2 linked regions of the Drosophila melanogaster genome follow. The protein of the gene in region 2 interacts with the protein of the main gene of each other region in a pairwise test. Each region holds a gene or a part of one and is shown on either strand. Other genes may lie near its edges.

The links. Proteins that work in one complex are often made in the same cells at the same time.
Region 1: the proteins of Cp38 (region 2) and CG7017 interact in a two-hybrid assay, tested with the Drosophila melanogaster proteins (one large-scale study listed by BioGRID).

Annotation. Positions count from the first base shown.
Region 1 is NT_037436.4:20,209,741-20,213,920, forward strand, and holds CG7017 (uncharacterized protein), read right to left. Parts: upstream 2,383-4,180; 5' UTR 2,294-2,382; coding exon 2,284-2,293; intron 2,013-2,283; coding exon 943-2,012; 3' UTR 552-942; downstream 1-551.
Region 2 is NC_004354.4:8,480,260-8,483,818, reverse strand, and holds Cp38 (chorion protein 38), read right to left. Parts: upstream 1,983-3,559; 5' UTR 1,906-1,982; coding exon 1,861-1,905; intron 1,635-1,860; coding exon 759-1,634; 3' UTR 508-758; downstream 1-507. Other genes in the region: Cp36 (chorion protein 36), read right to left, coding at 3,519-3,559.

The DNA of each region.
Region 1 (4,180 bases), on a different chromosome or scaffold from region 2:
TCATTTGAATACTTGACCTTTCCTACATACAAATCAATCATCCGCCCTGTGGACTTGTATAACTTCCTTCTTAAAGTGGACATAATTGATTTCTATGGAGAACGAAAGCGCGTCGATGCATTTCATTTGCATTTCACACTCATACAATATTTGTGGACCTAATGGGTAACATCGACCCTAATAGTTGAATTTAATTAGTGATAGACAAAAACGACCCTTGGGCGTTGGATACTTCTTGCTCGCCTGATGGCCAACACGGAAATAAGCGATCGCGGCAGCTCCGAGTAGCGAATTCATTATCTGGACTATCTGGAATCGGTTTGAAATTCTCCGAACCCTCCACTGGGGTACAATTTTAATTAAAACTGATAATTTTTTGGGCACTGCAAGTGTCACGAAAACAGATTGCCAAATATGAATCGTTGTGTGGCGCAGTTTTGATATCAAAAGGGTTGCCAGAAGAATTTTATCACGCCAACTTCGTTTCGCTAATGAACATTTCCGCCAATGTAGTTCAAAAATCAGTCCAAAAAATCATAGTATTTCTCTAGCATTATTTATACCAATTCATATTTTATTGTTCAAGGTTAGGGTAACATCTTCTATAAAGAGGAAGCAGACGGTAAAATTCGAATGGAAAGGGAATAAAACTACAATAGAGCCAAATGCAATGGATAAACTATATATATATACATTTCAGGTTTCAATGGAGTAACACATTTATTGGACATTTTTCGAGAAGCTAATATTTGTAGACCCATTTCCATGGTAAAAAGTAAATGGATGAATGTCATAAAACTTAACACTTCCCACCACAAAGTACATGAATTCCTTTCAAGCAATGCATTTGACCTCCACCATGAATTGGATCGATTTATTGGATATTTAAATTGGATGCGATTTGGTAAGGATTGTGGTAAGGATGCGATCTTCTGGGACAGCCTACACGGAACATGCGATGTTGTGGTAGTTGGTCTGTGTGCATCCCTGGTTGCGCTCGTCGAAGTAGTAGCCCGTTGGGCACTGGCCCAGGCTGACGGTCACTCCGCCGGAGCAACGTCCATAGCTCTGGCAATCGCCGGCGACGTTTACGTAGGTGATGTTGGTGCCCACACACCTGTCCAGCTGGCAGCGTACGTTAAGTCTGTCGCGGCACGAGAGCTTCTCGAAGTCGAAGTACTGGCCAAGTGGACAGCTCAGGTGCTTGGGCTCCGTGTCGTGCTTGCCGGCGACGGGGCTGCCACAGATATAGTAGTGGGAGCAGGACTCGTCGTCGGCAAAGTAGCCAACGCGAGCGGATCCGGTGGCACTGTCCAGGCAGAAGGTGTTTTCCGGTTCCGGCAGGGCGGCACTCTCGTAGCAGGACACCTCAGCCACATCCACGCAGTAGCCGAGATTAGCATCGTAGGCACTGGCCACTGGACAGGCTCGGCTGTGCAAGACCTCGCTGACGCACTCGTAGTACTGGTCACAGTGGACGGGATCGGCCAGACGGGTGTTGTTCGGCAGGGATCGGCAGGCGGGACTGGTCTTCTTCGTCTGGCTGATGGGGCAACGGTACTGCTTTTCGTACACGCAAGACCTCGATACGGGATGGAAGATCAGCTCGTTGGGACAGTTGGCCTTGATCTGCTTGTGCGACTTGCACAAGATGTAGCCGCGACAATCGCTGCTGCTGGGATCCACGATGAAGGCGCCTTCCGTTTCGTTGGCGCACAGGTTCGTGGCCTTGTCCGCAATGCTGTCGGCATAGGGACACACCGCGGCGCTGGAGGATGCCAGGATGCAGCGGCCTAGCTCCTTGTTGTAGTTGAGTCCTGCGGCACAGCCGCCCTGCTCCAGCACGCTGTAGTTGCTGGCGCACCGCACCCAGTTGTCGCAGGTATTCGGTCGCAGGAAGCTTGTCTCCTGCGGCAGCAGGTCGCACATCTCGGCCACCGATAGGTATTCAAAGTCCTCGATCACGCCGCCCAGGGCGCTGGCCACAAACAGCAGCGACAGGACACCGCTAGCTGCAAGTAAAATCGAAAATCGTGGGAACATTGTGTCAGGAACAGGATGGCATATCCAGTGTGCTTTACCATTTATTAACCCCAAACATGTGAGTCAATTTTTAAATTTAAACTACGATAGCTGGTACGAAAATTACCCTTCTGCCAGAAAGCCCTATCAACTTAAAAACTTAATGTTTGAATTTAATTTATATGTACATTTTTAAAGAGCAATTCTTTCAAACGAAATCCATCACTGTCAATGTTCAGCTGGCGTCCCACTTTAGTTTACCTCTATTCATGTTTTATATCCTTTGGTTAACTTGTATCCTGGTTTCTCGAACGCCCCGCTGCGATCTTGGCGGCACTCACAACTCAAATGATACTGCACCTTCGGAGGCTGGAGCTCTTAAATATGCAAAGGCCATTCTGCTCGGTTTTGTTCGGCGAAAAACAATTTCCAAAATGCACACGCTATCTCAATCAGAACTCCAAGATAGCGCTGATTTTTCGTTCTTCGATTTTTGATTTACTGATGTACGATAGCGGGGCCGCATGTAAATTACACGGCAATAACATCGGAATTGCCTATTTCGCAGAAGAACAGACTCCTGTGGTGGCGGTGGTATCGCATCGGATTGATAAGGGAATTGCATATGTCACGCCAAGATCTCCAAGATCTCAGCGCCATTGACGGTTCTCGAACATCTGAGAAACGCTGGAATAGTCATCTACAGACCGAACTCCCAATCTCATCGAATATCTTAATTCGGAGTTCGGACCAATAAATGAATTGCTGAACGATTTCTGCGTCAACTGAGCTCTTCGTCATGTCTCTTTGAATATTATTATTATTTTTTTGTATCATTTTGTTACCTATAACTATGCTATATTATACGATACCATACTAGAATATACTATACTATACTTTAGCCGCCGTTTACAGAAGTTAATATTCTAATACAATTTCACGTGTCTCTTTTATTTTTGATCTGTCCTTTAGCTTGGTTCAACAGCGACTGACTGCCGCGCTCTCTGCAGAGTGGCGAGTCGATTAGTCGATAAGTTTCTCGATAATATTTGTATGTTAAGGATGGGTGTATGAGTGTATAAGCTTATGACTAGATTGGCTATGTATAATTAGGTATGTATGACTAAGAGTAAAGGAAGAGGGTAGAAGGAGCAGCCTACTACAACTCGGCCGTCCTGACTACTAGATCTCCCGATCGTAGGATTTTATAACAATTAACGTTTCTTAAAGCTAAGGGTCCTGTTTCTTATTTTATTCTTCTTAGTGGAGATACTTTTGAACGGTCTTAAACATTTTTTTGGTTTTCTTTTCTTCTTGTTTGTTTTCTTTGTTTTACAATTGCTTCTTAAATTATACTTTCGATTTCGTACAGAGTTTCTTAAATTATACTTTCTATTTTGTACAGAGTTTCTCAAATTATACTTTCTATTTTGTACAGAGTTTCTCAAATTATACTTTCTATTTTGTAGACTCTTAATTTTTCTTTGCCAGTGTTTTATATTCTGTATGCTCCATACACCCCGGTAAGGATTGCGAGAAATTTGAAATCCATCAACATCTTCCAGAAGGAAGCGATCATTTTTGAGAACTTTGCTTATGACATAGGGTCCTTTATGCTTTGGAATTAACTTCTTAGCTATGCCTGTTGTTGAGTCAAAATTTTTAACCATGACGTAGTCGCCTTTTGTGAACACTCCTGATCGTTTTCGTTTTTTGTCAACATATTCTTTATTGTATGCTTGTGCTATTTTCTGACTTGCCTCGCCTTTATTTCTAATACTTTCTAAATCTCTTTCTTCAATCGTTTCTCCAATTTCCTCAATTTTTTCTTTTAACTCATCCATAATTTGTCCTTTTTGTTGTAACCCAAATAACATTATGCTAGGATACTGTTTAATGCTGCGGTGTAGTGTATTGTTCAGGGTATATTCGACCTTTTCTAAGACTAAGTCCCAGTGTAGACCTTGATCAGGTTCAATTAACTTGCTAATCATTGGACCAAGACTTCGGTTTATACGTTCAACTTGACCGTTGGCTTGTGGCGATCCTGTTGCAATTTTTATGTGTTTAACATTGCATTCTTTCAAAAATGAGTCAAAATCGCCAGACGTGAAACATGCTCCTCTATCTGATATGATACACTTAGGCCTACTGTATG
Region 2 (3,559 bases):
CTGGGCGACCTAAATTGCGATTCCACCTGTCATCAGCCGAGCTCTTCTTTGCCTTACCTATCATTATAGCCGATTTTGCCGCCCGTTTGTTATTGAACAATTGCGTGGGATGCCATTGGCATAACGCACAACAATGGGGAAGGACAACCAAACGATGTGTGTAATGACAGCCTGCGTTTCGGATTTATTGTATTTATTATATGCGACACTTGTTGCTGCGAATAAAGTTGCGGGTAAGTCAGTTCTCCCATCATTAAATCGATTCTCATCATATGCACTTTGTGTAACAATAATTATATAATAATATCAATGATATTACTCACTGTCTATGCTATAAGTGTATCAAGTTTAAAATGAGTCGCAAGACTATCAATAACTATCAATTAGAGTATATATCTAATGATAGTTTAATTTAAATATAACTAGCATCTAGATTTCACCCTTCATCGAAAACAACATTCAGCTTGGGTATAATTGTTTTTTTTTTTTTGTTCAAATTTTTTATTTGTTTTGCAAAGAAACCTGAGTGCCACGCCCCTCCTGGGCCGTTGAATGGGTGAGTGGGTGGTATTGGGGTGTGCATGAGTGGGCGTGGGCGTAGGCATGGGCGTTGGTCGATCAGGCTGTTTTTTTTTTTTTTTTTTGTAAAAAAAACATAGTAACTAATCAGCCGGATAAGCGAATGACTAAACCAGCCGCTTCAGTTGATTCCGGAGCCGCAGCAGTCATCCAATCCGTAACTCCTCCGCATCTGTTACCTAATAGGCGGGAGCAGCATAGCCGCCATGTCCGGCTGGACCGGCGCTATAGTGCTGATGGCTTGGAGCGGGACCATAGGGACCCTCACGCTCGCCGGCGATGTTGGCAAGAGCGGACAGACCCTGGTTGCCGCTCTGGAGCAGCTGATAGCCAGCGCTGGCGGCAGCGGAATCAGCTCCCGAAGCGTAGGCGGGCAGAGCACGGCCACCGTCATGGGGTCCAGGACCATGGGGTCCAGCACCGTGTCCACCGTGTCCGTGTCCGCTGTGTCCGTGTCCATGGCCACCGTGTCCATGGCCGTGTCCGTGGGACTGCGAGCCCTGTCCGTAGCCCTGCTTGTTCTCGTTGACAAAGTACTTCTCTGCTGGGGGCTTGACCACATTGACGAACACGGGCTCAACCTTGACGCGACGTGGGTGGTGCTTGACGTAGACCTTGCGGAGAACGATTGCTGGGGGCTTGTGGAGCACCACGGGAGCGGGCTTAACCACCAATGGTGGATGGTTCACCAGCACCTTGGTGGGCGGACGCTTGACAATGATGGGAGCGGGACGATGGATGAGGATCTCGCCCTTGTTCTGCGGGTAGGTGATCGATGAGGTCAGGGTGTTACCCTTGGTGTTCACCGGCTTGTACGGAATGTTCTGGTCGGATCCGTAGCTGCTCTGGCCAGCCTGTGCCACACCGGCGGCATCGGCTCCGGATTCGAGAGCACCAGCACCGGCGTTAGCACCACCGTACTCGCCACCAGCTCCACCGGCACCGCCGGCAGCTGCTGCGGCCGCTGAAGCGGCATCAGCACCGCCATCGGAGGCACCGCTTCCGGACTCGGGTCCATAGCCCTGGGAACTGCCGTAGTTGGCGCTTGCACAGGCCTAAAAGTAAATTGAGGGGGGGGGGGTGGATTAGAATTGGATCGACATATACATATACTTAAAATAAGTCTAGCATCGATAGATAGCTTGATTCCGTTTCAAGTAATTTAAAGGAAAGTCAATTTGCTTTTCATGTACGATTTACATGGCACAAACGAAAGCAGTCAGAATTGATAGACTTGGTTTTCTTGGGATTAATCCTAAGATTTCGAGCTTGAACACTTACGATCAGGCAGGCGGCCAGCGCCCAAATGTAGGTCGATCTCGTCATCTTGTCTCCCAGTTGCAGTTCCAGTTGCTCTTCGGCTTCTGGTGTGCTCCCGCTTGGACTGTCTGCTGTCTTCTGCTGCCCTCCATTGGTGGCCGACTACTTTAAATATGCTCCGGACGCGTCTCCGGCTCCGGGTACGTGACATTTGGATTGATGCCAACTCCGGTGCCGGCTGTTCCGCTCCGGGCCCACGCGATGCGAACGAAACATGGCCAAATGTTGATAGATCGCACGCATCGCTGCCAGCGCATATCACGGCGTCTCTTCCACTTACGTAGAAGCCACAACCCGAAAACCCCACTGCCCACTGCCCAGTTGCCATTGCCCGTTTTACAATAACAACGAACACATTGCCACCGAATCGGAATCAACAGCCGGGCTGTGAATCTTTGCCGCATATCGAGGTCCGAACGTCTGTTCAGATAGCGAAAATAGTTCCGCATTGGCAGACACAAGACTCCGGGAGTCGGAATAAGAGGTAATCCGAGGTGTAAGTGGATAGGGGGAAATGATTAGCCACCCAGCTGTAGTCCTTGAATTTCACACGGATTGCGCAGATTCGATTGTCTTTCTATTGTATTGTATTGTATTGTATTGTATTGTATTGTATTGTATTGTATTTCTTACTATAAATGTGATTAGATTGTTAGAAGAGTGGCTATCTTCACATGACCATTTTTAATTTAGAAAATCCATGTAACTGATTAAACCATCAGTTTAAAGTACCATATAAAAATGTATACTTAATAATTGCCAGATAAAATAAATCTCTAGTTGCAAAGAGATTTGAAGATGAAATATGGATCTTTAGCTATTCCAATTAGGAATTCAAAGGCTTACAAACACCTAAAAAGATTTCCAATTCTTCAATTATTATGTTGTTATGTTTTAAAACAATCTTATGAAACTCTAATATGAATTTGGCGTTTCAAAAGAAAAGGTTTAAATACGTATTTAATGCATTAAAAGTGCTATATTCTTTGTTTAAAAGAAAAGAGGCCGTAAAATTATAGTTGCTCCATTAATTCATAGTTATGTTATTATTTATTATTCATTCCGGAATCAACAATATGTTGATAAAGATGACCTTTTGATCCCATTCTTTGCAATTAAACGATAACTGGAATAAGATAGCTACCATCACAAGAGTGTGAAATAATTTCATGCATGATAATGCTATCCAATATCTTTCGAATTGTATCTCATAAAATGCGTACCATGTTTATGCATATTTATAGAATAGTTAAAATACTTGTATGACCGTAGAGATTTCAATTACAAACTTATTTATACTCGTTCATAATTTTATGTTCATACTTTATACCATTTTCCCCTTTATTATTTATTTTTGAAGAAAACTAGATATAATTTTTTGTTCTCTCATGCATTCGTATATATTTATATATTCATAAATATGTGCTTAATCTGTGTGCTTCATTGCCACTCAGGTAGCCCCTTCCGGTCGAAAATAATTGATGACAAAACGTTTACGTTTCAAGTATTTTTTTTTCATTTATTTGCGCTCAGTAGTTCGGCAAAGAAAAAAAAAAACAAAAATTTAAATTAAACCAGCTGTCGCAGCTGAGGAGCAACCCATGCCCAGGATGAGCACCTTAGTAGTTGGGCTGGCCATAGGGCGCGGGGCTGTTGTACA